Linked DNA regions of Struthio camelus. Each later gene encodes a partner of the first gene's protein in a complex. Links are inferred from orthologs where the notes say so. Each region holds a gene or a part of one and is shown on either strand. Other genes may lie near its edges.

Region 1 (7,766 bases):
AAGGAAGCTTAATTATCTCCAAGGACCCAGGCCAGGAGGGATGACAGCTTGCACAGGCTATCGCTAGCCTGAGCAGGCCTGATTTCACCTCCTTCTGCCCAGACACCTCATCTCCATGGCCTTCTCCCTCGGACCCCTCACACAGTTGCCTTCCGAGAAGGGACCCCTCCTTCCCCAGCGAGCAAAGAAAAGGATGTGGAAGCGGGTGGAGAAAACTCACCGGCGCAGGACTTAGACTTCTGGATCTTAAGCAGCAGGATGATAATAGCCAGCAAGTGGGAGACATCTCCCAGGATCCGGAAGACGTTCATTGCTACGTGGGCTCCTCAGAGGCAAAGCAAGCAGGGTGTTGGCACAGGTGGACGGGAGTAGGGCAGCCTCCAGGGCTTCCCCAAAAGGTTGCTACTGAGTAAAACTCGGCAGTGAGTTTTTCCCCTAGCCTTGATCAAGTAGCTGCTCTCTTCCAAGTGAACTTTCTTTTTAATCTGTGTATGGAGTCCTTTCTTCTGGCGGAGGAAAATTCAGACTCCCTCCATTAAAAAATACCCGTTCTCCCTGCACGACTTTCCCTTCCAGGGTGAACTTCCTCCCTTGCTTTAAATTTACCTCAAGGTAGATTTTTTTCTCCACCAGAACCAGTTTGCCCCCGAGGGTTTTCTCTGCCTGCAGTGCCAGCTCTCCCCCCTCCAGGCTGATCTCCCAAAGTTGGGTTTTATCCCCAAGAAGGACCCAGACTAAGTCTGCTCAGCAATCCCAAAGCCAGCACTGGGTGACGTGGCTCCTGGCTGTCCGGGGAGGAGAGAAAGGAGGAGGAGGCAGGAATAACTGCGCTATTTTTCCTTTTTCTTTTTTTTTCCCCCCTTCCTCTTTTTTCCCCTACTTGTCTCAAATTACACACGGAAGTGTCCTTAAAGGGGGAAAGGCAAACGGAAATGATTATCCATCGTCTGGGGCTGGGGTAGGGGTCAGGACTCAGTCCTCTGAGTGTCAGGCTTTCGAGGGACGCCGATGGTCCCTTTGGACACATTAATCCCCGTTTTGCTCCGAGCTGGCCAGGCTTGTGCTCTGCAGCCTGCTTTCTAGGGCTTTGCACAGCCCCGTGTTCACTCTAGCACTTTCTGGGCAGTGATCCTTCAGCCTAACAGAAATTGCTATTAGGAAAAACTACCTGGCATTCCCCCAGAGCTCCCCTCCCCTCCGCTCCGCTCCGTCTCGTAGATCGAAGGAAGGGGGTGGGAAGAGATTCGATTTGAATGTCTTGGGCTTGCGTGATTTTCTCTTGCGACCGTGCCTCCAGCCCTCTTGGGTCTGCCTGGACCCGGCAGAGGGTTGTCGCCTCTCCCTCCCTCGAGTGCCAAAACACTGCAGCCCTCCCCTGCTCTGTGCCGTCATCCCTGCTGCCCCAGGGACCTTCATCTACCTGAATGTTTTAGGGCACTTCCTGGCTTCTTTGCTGGCTTCTTCCTGGGGGCTGGGGGGGGGGGGGGGCGTGCCTATCACCAAATACTGACATATGCTGCTCTGGGCCTTAGCCGCTTCCCTCACTGACCGCTCTTGGGGGCTGGACACTGAGCTAAATAGCTCTCAGTCTGGGCAGTTATGTCTCTTCAGCAAGTGCCCCTGCTGAGGACACACGACGCTGCACACGGCCTTTGGGTGTCCTCGTCCAGAGCGGTGCGCCTGATTCTGGTTGTTCCTCCAAAAGAAATGTGGATTCGTGGTGAAGCAGCTGGAAAAGAGCCTGGGGACGGCCTCAGCCATGGACAGCCAAGCTCCGGAGAGAGGGAGGAGGGAACGTGGCTTGTGTGTTGGCTCATGGACGTGAGCTGGAAACCAAGAGGCTCCAAGAGCCCAGCTCCAGAGGAAAAAAAGTTCTCCCAAAGGCTACTTTTACATAACCTTCACTGAAAATATGGGCTCCTGCAAGTGGATTGAAAAACAAGGAAGGCACATATTGTGTGAAAGAAATACACATGTGCTACCATTTTTATAGATTTAACAACAAGGAAAGGATATTAGCAGTGACATTGTTACAGAGTTTTCATATATTCAGGAACAGTAAAGGGCGACCAATCTATTTGAGATAAATCTTGTTCTTGCGTCAGAGGTGAAGCTGCAAAGAACGAAGGGTCTCACTGTGCCGGCAGGGGGACGAGGACCTCAGCATAGAGATGGGCTCAGCAGTAGGAGAACACTACAGGGCCCTTTTTATTATCTAATTGCTACTATAAAGCTCCTTTAATACAACCATGACAAATGGATGGTTTAATTTGTCACCTTGTCCGCAAGCAAATCGTATCCGGCTGTTAGTCTAATTTTGCTCCTCCGTGGTTACGTGACCCATGCTGCTCTTGTCCGGCAGCCAGTTTCGGCTGCTGACCGCTCTGTCCCCAGGCTTCCCCTGCAGCAGTTTCCTTCGGTTCTTCTTCCTTTAGCAGGTCCTCATGGGCTCAGTCTGGAGTAAAATCCTTAATGATTAAAGTGTAAAAATATTATTCCTGGTGCTTACTAAGAGGACTAACAAGTCTATTAACGTTAACCAGATTCCTTTCTGAATACATTTGCATACATTTCCTCCTTGCCCATTAGGCTGGCTGCCGTGTTTTCCCTTTTTGCCTCTACAACACCTGGCGTACTGGGCTTTTCCAGCCCGAGTTTCCAGGTTTGGCTAGAAAACACTTGCTTAGCCCAGCGAAACACAGAGAGGGGCCCCTGCCTGCAGCCTGCAAGTACGTCCGGGCCCAAAATAGCAGAGCAGGAGAAGAGTTGTTTAGACTAAAGGACAACATTGCAAAGAAACAACCGGGTATGAAGTGGCAGTGACCTAGGCTGAAATCAGGTTTCCAGCCACAGGAGCAGAGTAATTCTGGATTTCAGCAGGAATTTGCCAGGTAAAGGCTCTCGCTGCCTTCGGAGGGAGCTGGCCAGGAAAAGCACTGCGTGGCGCAGGTGGGGCCTTAGCACAGTGGCAATCGGCTGCGGTGGCTCCGGCGGAGAGCTGCCTTAGGCCGGCAGCGTAGCCATAACGGTCTCTATGCTGAGGACAGCAGATGGTGGCTGTGAATAAGCTGGTGGTGGGTACGGGCAATGGGGCAGGAATCGCTCCGCGGGCCTTGCTCCATTTCCTTGGGGTGCCCTTTCTAGCCTCATCCTGAGCCCCTTCTTGCTGGGTTTCCCTCAACAAACTCTTCTCGCTGGTTTTAGGAGCCCTTTTGTTGCCCTGGTGCTCTTCACATCTTCACCCACAGGGTGAAGCTTGCCTGTAGTCAGCAGTGACGAGGTAAGACTCTTGCCAGTGGCGAAGGTTTATTCTCTTTACCTTGTGCCTTCACAGGACTCAAGCAGAGCAGCTGAGTCCCAAGCCCTGGGTTTATTTTCTACTGTGGTCGCGGCTACTGCCAGGTGAGGTGATGGTCAGAGGGTTTTCGTGCGAGCAGCCCGGCTGAGCGTCCCTGAGAGCTCGCTAGAGCCAGAGCAAGCGAAGGGAAAACACAGAGGAGGGGAAGACAGCGCCCCCAGCCCCGGCTGGGAGGTGGTGGTGGAGTCGGGGTCTCCCTGCAGGATGTCCCCATGCACCATGCAAACCCCTGCCACCCTGCAGGCCACAGAGCGGGGGGCCTGCAAAGGCCGCCGGGAGGATGAGAGGCATCGGGCTACCGAGTGCTTTAAAGAAGAAAAACTGGTACACGAAGAGGGAACAAGTAAAAATAAACCTTCCCTCCTCCCCACCTCCTTCCCTGCCACAACATAAAGCGCCTCGCACCGGGTGTCTCCCTGCCTCCCGAAATAATGCCGGGCGCTGCCACTGCCGTGCTCGGTGATGCTCTCTCCATGCCTCCCGTTTCCATGGCGACTGCAAGGAATGTCGCCAGGGTGACAGGGAGGAGAGGGAGCTGGGATTTGGCATTAAAAACTGGAATTTGGATTCTTCTTCTTTTTTTTTTTTTAAATTCTATTTTCGTTTTTCCCCCTCTCCATTTGCAGGTTTGGGGGACTCACGCTCCCGGAGAGCCCCTGGGCGAGGGAGCAGCAACTTCTTCGAGGGCCGAACTTTCCCTCTCAGGCCCTGCCCTGATCCCAGCTGTTTTGCCAGGAGAAGGAGGGGAAAAGGGGAGGTTTCCTTCTTGCTAAAGCATATGTCTTCTGCCACCAGCAAGGCTTTTGCCCCGGGCAGCTGCTTGGCCGGGAGTCCCCCTCCATTCCCACTCGGGGCCGTAGCTCGAGGCACCTCCAGGCCACGTGGGGACCATGGGCAGCCCCCGGGGGACAGAGGGGTCGGGAGCTCGTGCGCCTTGCCGGCAGCTCCTGCGTCGTCCCCCCGCCCCAGCCCCAATCCCTCCGCCTCCCCCATCCCCACAGCAGCATCGGGAAAGGTTGGCGGAGTGGGGCTATTTTTGGGAGCGTCTCCCTGGCAACGGCTGCCACCACCGTCTGTGGTGGCTTTTCCATAGGTGCTAAAATATTCCACGCTGCTTATTAAAGCCGGTGCCGGTGGAGACGGGCGGGGGTGGGGAGTGTGAGCCACCCCACTGCCGGGGCCGGCGGGCCCCGTGGCGGCCGGGGCCACGGCCGGCCTGGGGAGCGGGGGGGACACGTGCGGGGACGGGGCGGCCAGGGCAGGGCCGCTTCCCGGAGATGACGTCCGCCAGGTCCCGTCCGGCGGCCCCCGCTGCGCTGCGGCTCGTCTGCCGTGCCGGGCCCGGCGGGAAGGGCGCTGGGCGGCGCGGGAGGCGCAGCTAGCGGGCCTCCGGTCGGAAAGACGAAGGGAACCAACAGCTGGCGCCGCCTGTCTCGGTCCCGCTTCGAGTGTCCTTCCCAGCCAGACCGGCTGTGCAGAGGTTTCGGAGTGATGCGGAGCGTCAAGCGACAAGAAGAGAAAGGGATCGACGGTGAAAAACAAAATGAAAGTTAAGCAGCTGCTTGGAGGCCCCGAGCGCCTCGTGGCTTTGCTCATCCCGGAGCCGGGGCAGGAGGCTCTCGGTGGCACCGGCGGGAGAGGCAGCCATTTGCCCCAGGTCGCACGAGGGGGCTTTGGCATAGCCCGGGAAGGGGCCGGGGCACCCGCGCTTGCTCTCCACGTCGGCGTCAGCATGAGGCAAGAGTGAGCAGCGCTCTCGCTGATAAAGTCACCGGGAAGGAAACCGGACCCCCGGTGCACGACACAAGTCTCATGACTTGTTCCTCGCGTGCCCTCCCGCCCGAGGCGTCCCAGGGGGCTTCCCACGCTGCCCTGAAATTTCCCTCCTGCCCTAGGGATTGACCCCGAAGGGCCCGTGGGGGAGCGCTGCCCCCGCTGAAGGCCCGGCACCGCTTCCTGCAGCCCCTGTGCTTGCCGGGACCTCTCCTGCTCGGGCGCTTTGCGAGCGGCGCTTTGCGGAGCAGCTGCAGGTGGGCTGGGGCGAGCTGGCTGCTGGCAGGATGCTGGCTGCTCTCCCCATTTGCAGCTGCTAATCTGTGCTGAGAGATGCTAAAAATACACTGTTCTCCTGATGTTACTCTCCCAGGTAAGTGCAGGCTGCGCTCGCTGCGGCGATGCTCGGCGAGGCGCGCGGGCGAGCGGCGTTGGGGGGGCGGTGGTCCCCGCGGCGTGTTGTGCGAGGCTGCATCCCACGCGCTGGGAGGTCGCGGGATGATTTTGGGAGGGGGGAGGGTGTGATCTCTGCAGGACAGTGACCCACGGGACAATCAAAACAGTGGTTTTCGATCTTTTTTGACCCCTCTAGATTTTCAGCGAGCTGAGGTCTCCTGACGACAGCTTGGCTCTCCGCAGGCTGTGGAGACACAGCTGGCTCCCCTGTGGCTCTCCAGGAAGGATCAATGAGAGCTTCGTTTCGAAGGCACCAGAATTTGGCTTGCGCTGGTGTCTTAACGCTGGGGATGGTAGATGAGACACTGAGATGGAAAACACGTCCAGCCGCCACCGCTGGCCTGGTGCAAGGCTGTTCTTAGGAAGGTCGTGCGCGTAGCTGGTGGCTGCAATGTCACAGCCTACTTACAGTCTCCGGCTTCCCTCCAAAATTAAAGGGACAACTTCACTACTTGGCACTGGCGTAAGGAAGCCGCCTGCGTCTCCCTCTCCCACGCTGCCACCCTTTGCCTTGAAGAAGAGACCTCTTCAAAGCCCCTGAGATGTTGCAGGGAGTGAAGCTCCAGGGGGAAATGTCCAGGAAAAAATTTGTGGCGGAGCCATCGTGTGGCATCTCTGGAGGCCCTGAACGAGCTCCACAGTGATGCTACAGCTCCTAGGGCTGATGCTCGGCGAAGAAAGTGGCTTGGATGTATGCAGCAGGCCTTGCGAGCCTATCGCCTCCCAACGCACATGAGTAGATGGCTTGGGGAAGATGGCAGGCTCTATGTCTGGCGCCTCTCTGGGGCTTCGGCATCTCTGCAAGGGTGGCCTTGTAGCAGTTCTCCATTGAGCTGCAACATAAAATACACCGAGGGGGGAGGGCAGGAACTGGGGGCCCCTCTGGCTGGTTGCTCCATCCCACCGTTTCCATCCCAAGCATGATGCTTGTCCCAGGCAGGACAGCCAGCGGCGTTGCCAAGCAGAAAGGCCTGGCCATAGGTGCTGGGAGGTGGGAGCCGCTTGTGCCTCAGGGGCCCAGGAAACCTGCGGTGATGTCCCGAGACCTCCAGCAAATGCTATGCAAGAGCTGGGGACTTAGATGGAGAATTTGGTCCTTTCTCAGAGCGAGGTCTGAGCTCAGCACTCTGGAGCCAGGTGGAAAAAATCCTGGCCATGGCTATTTAAGCCTCTTGTAACAGACCGGCGGCCAGTTCCTGCCTCCCCAGGGGCTTCCTACGGGCTGGCCGCTTCCCCCTGCTTTCGGTTGCACTCTCCTCTCCCCCATTGCAGCTCTGCAGCGTGTATCCATGGCTCTGAGATCACACGCGAGGATGGGCTAAAGTAGCGGAAAGCTGTTGGATCCTACCACAGAGTTACTGACTTCTTAGCTACAGACTGCATAGCAATCAGAGAGGGGGAGAGAGAGCCAGAGGAAGAGAGCGGGAGGAAAAAGAGAGGAAGAGTGGAAGGGAGACCGGTAGAGACGGCACAGAAATTTGTGAAATAGAGAAGGGGGATAGAGCAGGCAAGGATAAATAAAGAAAGGGAAGGAGAGAAACAGGCAGAAGGGAGAGACCAGAACTCATCACCAAGCTGCAGCCACAAATCAGAGCTCCGTGGGATGGAAACTCCTGAGAGCAAAAAATGCTGAAGAGAGGCAGAGGCAGAGGAAGAGGAAGGAGAAGAGCACTGGCATGAACAGGGGAGAGTTAGGAGAAGAGCAAGTCACGGGGAGGAAGTAGCTACTTGAAAGAAAAGAGGCGAGAGAGGGCTGAAGAGAGACCTCCCAGATTCCTTCAGTCCAGGCGAGCTGAGGCATTTCATGGTGAGATGGAGAAATCACCCGCTTTTCCCTTCCTCTGATGTTGGCTCTCCACAGCTCAAGCAGGGAGCAGCTATCGGCAGGACCTGGGTAAGAGATGGTGCTGGTTAGCGCTACTCCCGTTCGTGGCATGATAATGGGAAGGTTTTTCCTCTGAAAATAATGCATTGTTTCATCTGCGCTAGCTCTGAGGAACAGCTATAAATATAACTTAGTGAGATATGCGTGGCTTCATGTGAGTGCCAGTGAATAACAAAGTTGACTGTGTGCATTGCATATGTAAATATAGAAAACGAAGTGCGTGTGTGCGAAGGGGCAGAAACACACCTGTTTGTAACCTCCCTAACTTTGCTCCTTTCACCTCCACGCATGGAC
Region 2 (7,163 bases), on another chromosome or scaffold:
TAAAGCAGCAGGACTGCTCGTGTCAGGAAGTGCAGCAAAATGCAGTATTTCAGCAGCCCACAGAGCCCAGGGAAATGGGGCTCATTATCCTACAGTGCTCATGCTGACTAGGCACGTTTCAGGGGGCAACGCTGTGTTTGTGTAACCATGAGGGCTAGAAAAACTGCTCCTTCAGGAAAAGCCCTTAAAACAGCTGCAACAAGGTGCTCTGCTCATCGCTCTTAGGAGTGGTGGGACAAGAGGAGAATGAGTATGCCACAACTTTGAATGGAAGATCAGTTTTAGCCCTGTCTGGGTCCCAGCTACCTCATCTGCTGCCCAGGTTTTCCACTCATAATTGGACCAGAGAACCAACATTTTGGAGTACGGAAAAGGTATCAGCAGGCAGAAGAATATTTTGAAGCAGGGCAGGGTCAGATGTTTTTGTAGTTGACAGTGGAGGGAAAGGGGTTTAGCACGCTGAAAAGCAACACAGCACTGACAGTATTGGCATGGAGATGATTTTAGGTTCTCCATTCTTTGTTTCGTGGTTGATTTCATTTGTTGATGTTGGCACAGGATTATCCTTTCTGCATCACTTACAATTTATGGGGGGGGGGGGGGGAAGAGATCTTGACTGAGGTCTTTATGCTTCTGCCATGTTTCATAGCTGCTTGGTCACTTCGCCCTGTATCTCTTCCTTCTGCAGAAGTTGCAAAGCGGAGCTCTATTGGTTAAAACAAACTTTCCTTGGTTCTTCTAAATGTACCAACAGGAAAAAACTTTAGAAGTCATAGCTCCACTATCTAAACGCTTTGAAGAATTACGAGTGCTTTTTCATTTCTCAATTGCACAGTCTCATTGCAGCCCATTTTGTGAATTTAGGCTCATGTGGGGATGTAACTACTCTAAGAGGAGAAAACGCTTACAGAACAACATTGTTTACTTTTAGAGTTTGCATTTCCTGGAGCTGACAGGAATTGACTCACCAGCTCCTGAAGAATGAATATTGAATAGGTGAATACTTCTGTCTTTTTGAAATACTAATCGTTTCACGTAAAGCCTCTGCACCAGAGTGCAAACTGTTTAAATGTTCTGTAAAGGTCGCCATCAATTAGGAGTCATGATAAAGACTCCCAGGTATTTCAGTTCGCTCCTTGGGTATCAAGATTAAAGGACTCCTGTTGCTGCACGGTCTCTATGTATGGATACAAACAGAAAAAAGAGCCACACTCACCTCTGCTTTAACTTCTTTCAAGTGGCTACTCCAAGGAACGGTTTGCTTCTAAATTAAAATTTGCCTTTGTTTAACAGTGGCAAACTCTGAATCCAAGTCACCAAGAGCAAATTGCGCACAATCTGGTCCACCGCTCTCTTCCTGTTTCTGTTCAGATGCAATTACTTATTAACCAGTCAAACATTTAGCTAGAAAATAGAATTAATCATTGCACTTAAAATAATTTAGGATAAGCTGCGTACCTCCGATGCTATAATCACAACCAAAGCATCTTCACTCTGAAAGTCTCTCCTCTAGGCAACCATGAATCAATGTGCATGTAACTGACTGCACTAGTTGGGCCTATGAGAATTACCATACCAATAAAACAGCACAGTGTTTTTTTTTTTTTTTACTGTCAGTTTAATTCTATTTAAATGACTTCTAGATGGTGAAATGCATGGTGAACACATGTCCCATTAGGCCAAGGTGCAATACCTGGAGACCAGATAGCTCATCGTAACGCATAGAGCTGACCTTGTTCTGAAACCAATGCTTCCACTTGACAAAACAACATCCTCTAGTTGGACAACCTAAGCTTTCCTGACTGAAATCTTCAGGGGCTTCAGCCCCTGCCCACGTTCCCTCGAGCATTTCCCTACCTTACACCCTCTGTTTAACAGAATTTCCATAACTATTGTTTTTTTATAAAACATAACAGCCAGATTCCTTATCAGAAGCTTCTTTCCTTCTTGAGTTTGATTTTTTTTTCTTGAATTTTATGTACAGCAATAAAATTTGTCACTTCAGGGCAATGCTGTCCAAGTATCCTCTCTAAGTCACGTTCTTTAGGTAGCTTCTTACCCATGTAAATCCTAGTTTCCTCTGGTGATACATATTTATACTAAACAATTAATTAAGAGTCTAGAAAGTATTTGAATAGTACAAATGTATAAAAGATACCCATTAATGGGTAACAAGTGCCAATTCTTCTCTGATGACAGCATGAATCTGGCAAAGTATGCTAATGAGGGAATTAAAAACTTTACCATCTTTTTCCCCCAAAAGACCACGGGTAACATGACTGAGGCAATGTTTATAGTTTCAAATCTAACTTTTGTATAACCCTGTATTTCACTAGAAGCTGACTTCTCAGTAAAGTATTTTTAAATGCAGTACCTTATGTTGTAAAAATAACTTTGTATACCGTAAACAGGGAATATCTTAAACAAGGTTCTGGTGAAGCAACGACTGATTCAGAGAACCAGATGGAGCAACATGTGCTCGTAGAGGAAAGTGTATGACAAAACACTGACCCTGTGCAAGAGTTTGGAGCCTTTCATTTTAACCTACTGATCAAACACTGTTTGCAGGATCACCTCTACAGCAAAGAGAGATTATGTGTATGATAGGTGCTTAATTTTTCCTTTCAGTTCCCACCAGAAATATATGGAACCACAGTAATATATGGTTCGGTTGGAGAAAATGCTGTCTTACAGGCATGTTCAGCACAGGCTGAGGGAGCAGTTAATCAGATGCTGTATTTTTCATTTGGTTGCCTCTGTTTCATCGGGCACAATGGTATTCAGAACAGAGCAAAGTGCTGGACTTCTGAGAGTATTATGTACTGACTTTTGTTTATGCCAGTGAAGAGTACATGTGAAAATGTCATTTATTTTTAGAGTGTACATATAGCAACTGTGAAAGATAACATTTGCACTCATATACTTCTGTACCAAACCTTTACGTGCACTTAATTACATACTACTGTGAACTGTTTCCCTGTGTCAGTGGATTATTTTTAGGGTCACGTGTTATATGCTACTTCCATCAGTCTTCGTAAGCGGACGCAAGCTGCAAAACCACAAGGGAAGATGACTGGTGTTTCTAATTGTAAAATGCAGGGGATACAAGGACTAAGGCGGGCAAAATCCATGGACGTGACTGCAACGAAGGACAAAAGGCCTCCCTCAACCACCGCACGAGTATTCATAGGAGACGTCCAAGTGATGTTTCACATTGCGTTTAATTAGAACAGTGCTACCGCTTCATTTGTGCTCGGACATAATTTACTGACGTCATTAACAATACAAGCAACGAACAACGGTTTACAAGGTAAGCTGGCCTAGTGGTGTCGACGACTTTTTTGGCAACAGTCCTCCTGCCTCATTGAGAGAAACAAAAAACACTGCGGCTGAGGCGGCTCCTCGCCGCTTCAGTAGACGTGGACCATGCCGTAGAGGAAAGTCCAGAAGAGGACGTAGGTGAAGAGCCCCCCTACGAGCCCCCCGGTGAAGAGCGGCCGCCGGGACTTGAAGTACTTGTTCCATCGCCGCCCGGCCTTCAGCACCAGCAGCACGGAGAGGAGCACGGAGGCCAGGAAGTAGAAGACGAAGCCGTGCAGGCCGGTGAGGCCGAGGATGCCGGCCGTGGCGCCCGACAGGGCCGACACCGAGGTGCGGCAGTAGTCCAGCAGCGCCGCGTTGCCGCGCACCGCCGCCTCGCTGATGAACTGCGGCCCCTCGCGCTTAGCCGCCGCGGCCATGGCCGCCCGCCGGCTCCGGGGATCGCCTCGCTCCCGGCGAGCCTGCGGCAGAGCACACGCGCGCTGGGCGGCGGCGGCGGCGCTCCCGTCCCCCCTCCTCAACCCGCCGCCGCCCCCGGTAACGAGGCCCCGCCGCCATCTCCCCCCCCGGCCCCGGCCCCGGCCCGGCTCGTACCTCTCATCCACGGCGGCGAGCTGCTCCGCGGCACCCGCGGCCGGGCCCAGCCGTCACGCCTCGCACCCTGCCGGGGGACACCGCGCGCGCCGCCCGTCAGTCCCGGCCGCCCTCGCCCTGCCGGCCCCGGCCGCCCCCGCCGCGCCGCGCCGACCTACCGCCGCCGCCGAGCCTCTCGCCACCCCGCCGGAAGCTCCTGTCAGGCATCTTGGCGCGGGGGCCGCCGGGAGAGCGGCCTGGCTTCCGGCGCTGCGCGTCAGCGGCCGGCGAGGCGGCGGCGCCCCATTGGCTGGCGGCGCGGGGCGGCGGCGGCGGAGGGCGAGGCGCTTTGTTCGGGCGGCGGCGGCGGCGGCGGGGCCATGTCGTACGTGCCGGGGCAGCCGGTCACCGCCGTGGTGGTGAGCCAGGGGGCGGCGGCGGGGCTGCTGCGGGGACCCCGCGGGACCGGGAATCGGCTCCTCCTCGGGCCGCCGCGGGCGGGGCCGGGCCGGGGCTGCTCCCGGCTGCCCCCCGGAGCCATGAGCGCCTGTCTGCTGACTTGGGCCCAGGCGCTTCTGCTGCGGAGCCGCTTGGCCCACGGCAGCCTTTGGCAGCGCTGCGTGACAGACCCGCTTGAAAGCCCTGAGCGTCTCTCGTGCGGCTTTTGGTACTCGCGTTAAGGCCTAAGTAGTTGTTGCACCCTGCTGTAACTGGGTAACGCGAGCGTCTCTGAGCGAAGCCTGCTCTCTTTTGCAGTGCAGGGTGTTTTCCGCAAGACCTGGTTTACTCCCTGCGTTGTTTCTGTGGTAATGTGGCGGGAGCGGCTGGCTGGGTGCTTTGTTCAGTGCCCTCTGCTACGTGCAACTGCGTGATACAGACCGGACAAGGACCTGCCTTGTATACTTGAATTTTATGAAGCAGAGCTTTTAAAAATTATGTTAAAGTGCTTAATCAAAAAACAGAACGCAAGCAAGGGTTGCTGTATTGTTTCTTTCGCTAATTAAAATACTAAGTTAACTTAAGTGGCCTTTCAGGTGGTTTGACTGTTGACCTAGCTGGAATATGCTGCACCGCTTTTAGCGGTGGAAGAGCCGACATCCCTGAGGACGCGTCAGCTGTCTTGGTTTAGCAAAGCAGCTCGTCTCCTAGTGAGATCCTGAGCCTTCTGCCCGCAGAGAGCTCAGCTCCTGACTGAGGCAGAGGTTTGAGAAGCGCCTTCTGAGTGGGTGTTGTTTCAGTTAAAGATCCTGGCTCTTTATCTTGACTCAGAAATTCCTGCAAGCTGGCAGTTATACAGTACTTCAGTAATCTGTAGAGTTTGTCAGATGCCTCTGTTCTTCAGTTAGCAAGGAACTTGCTTACCTTCAAATTACAAAAAAGGGTTGAGAACCTAAGAAGAACCATTGTAATAGACTAATATTTCCATTGACAGGGCTACACAGGAACACGAGGCACTTAAACAAAAAGCAAGATGAATCTAGATATGAATGACTGCTGGTTAGCAAACTTTGATTCACGTTCAGGGAGACCTGCTCTCAGTTTTTAATGCCTTGCCCCTTGTTTTCAGTGCAGCGGTAAAGCGCTGGCTAGGTTAGAAGCTTGGCTGTGTAGCGGCATGAGTACCCTCGGGATGAGCTTGCCGATGCTTTTCTGCCACGCCGTTTTGTGGTACGGCTGAGAACAGTTTAGAGCCAATTGGTGCGGCCAGCACCAAGGTTATGTGTCACTGGTAGACAACAAATACTGTGTAATAGCTTTTTCTGCCAAGGCGTTTTAGAGCTTGTTTGCCTGCTTACAATGCATGCAGAATAGATAGGTGGTTCTTGTTCTAACCAAGGCTGTGATACAGCCTTTTCTAGTAAAGTTAACTGAGGTTTATAGCATCTGCGTGAAATAAATATCTAACTGGCTTATATGCATCTGTTTCTGAAACAGACTTAAGATCACTTCCAGTGATCACAATGCTCAGTTATTCTCTTTTCTTTTTAGCAAAGAATTGAAATACATAAGCTTCGTCAAGGTGACAATTTGATTCTAGGATTCAGCATTGGAGGTGGCATCGACCAGGACCCTACTCAGAATCCTTTCTCTGAAGATAAGACTGACAAGGTCAGATGCTCTTTGCTTTCAGTAGCAACTATCTCTGCAAAATGCTGCGCATACTCATGTGCATCTGTATTCTGTCATCTCACATGGCTGACAAGTTATTCCATTGACATGTAATCATCTGCAGACAGGCTCGCGTTGAAGTTAGCTCTTGTGCGACTTTTCTACTTTCCAGCATCGCACAAGCCTGTTTTTAACTAGAATCCTGTAGTAGACTACAAAGTGTTTTTTCATTGTCAGTAAAGTGGCTGTTTGAGTATTCAGTACTTCCATATGTAGTAAATGAACACTTAATTTTTTTTTCCAGGGTATTTATGTAACGAGGGTGACAGAAGGAGGCCCAGCAGAAGTTGCAGGGCTCCAGATCGGAGATAAGATCATGCAGGTAAACACCAACATAAGACAAGTACTAATTCAGTACCCAGCTATGCAGCACCCAGGTGTGCACTGCAGAGAAGTTTATGCTGGGGGAAGTACCGTCTTCTAGGTACTTTCCAGGGCATTTTGTGGGGGTTATGCCACACGTCAGTTAAGTGCTCTTACAGAACTATGTAGTGGAAAAGGTAATTGGACTCTTGTGAGTCCATGCACATGCCTCTGATTTGTTTTGTTTCCGTTGGCTGGATTTTGAGAAGAGCTGCTAGGCTTAGATGGCCTAAGGGAAGCCACCAGAGATGGGGCAGCCTAAGGCCTTGCCCCTATGTGTCAGTCTTACCCTGCTTTGTCAAGACTTGCTCTGCCTGTGACTACTGAAGCATGTTATGTTCTTTTTCTAGGTGAATGGCTGGGATATGACAATGGTAACTCATGACCAAGCCAGGAAGAGGCTGACCAAAAGAAATGAAGAGGTGGTACGGCTCCTGGTGACCAGGCAATCTCTGCAGAAGGCTGTGCAACAATCAATGATGTCCTAATCAATCATGAGGTTGGGGAAGGGTTGGGGAGGGAGAGATATAGACTGGATATCAAGCAAGGAAGCAAATACTAGACCTGAGCAGGCTGTCTGGAAGGAGTGCATGTTCCGACCTGTGGTAAACACTATTTTTCTTTTTCTGGTGTAATTGACAGTAGTAAAACTCTAGTCCTCTAAGCAGAGTGCTTCTCTAAAGTCTTCCCTGCAGGTACATGGTAAGACCCTAGAGTAGTCATGGTTTTCAGGAGGA

The links. The genes of interacting proteins can lie anywhere in the genome.
Region 2: the proteins of KCNJ4 (region 1) and TAX1BP3 are in contact, whole or in part, in a crystal structure (PDB 3GJ9), measured with the Homo sapiens proteins. The link is inferred for Struthio camelus from reciprocal best matches to the Homo sapiens genes KCNJ4 and TAX1BP3. Residues at the interface, in NP_004972.1 of Homo sapiens: Arg440, Arg441, Glu442, Ser443, Ala444, Ile445; in NP_055419.1 of Homo sapiens: Leu27, Ile28, Leu29, Gly30, Phe31, Ser32, Ile33, Gly34, Gly35, Asp38, Gln39, Gln43, Asn44, Thr58, Arg59, His90, Asp91, Arg94, Leu97, Thr98.

What each region holds. Positions count from the first base shown.
Region 1 is NC_090942.1:58,352,519-58,360,284, forward strand, and holds the start of KCNJ4 (inward rectifier potassium channel 4), read left to right. Parts: upstream 1-4,694; 5' UTR 4,695-5,504; intron 5,505-5,723; 5' UTR 5,724-7,431; coding exon 7,432-7,481; intron 7,482-7,766. Other genes in the region: KDELR3 (ER lumen protein-retaining receptor 3), read right to left, coding at 221-311. UniProt on the Homo sapiens protein: Inward rectifier potassium channels are characterized by a greater tendency to allow potassium to flow into the cell rather than out of it.
Region 2 is NC_090957.1:17,790,591-17,797,753, forward strand, and holds the start of TAX1BP3 (tax1-binding protein 3), read left to right. Parts: upstream 1-4,147; 5' UTR 4,148-4,274; coding exon 4,275-4,313; intron 4,314-5,883; coding exon 5,884-6,003; intron 6,004-6,307; coding exon 6,308-6,385; intron 6,386-6,776; coding exon 6,777-6,914; 3' UTR 6,915-7,163. Other genes in the region: EMC6 (ER membrane protein complex subunit 6), read right to left, coding at 3,411-3,740. UniProt on the Homo sapiens protein: May regulate a number of protein-protein interactions by competing for PDZ domain binding sites. Binds CTNNB1 and may thereby act as an inhibitor of the Wnt signaling pathway. Competes with LIN7A for KCNJ4 binding, and thereby promotes KCNJ4 internalization.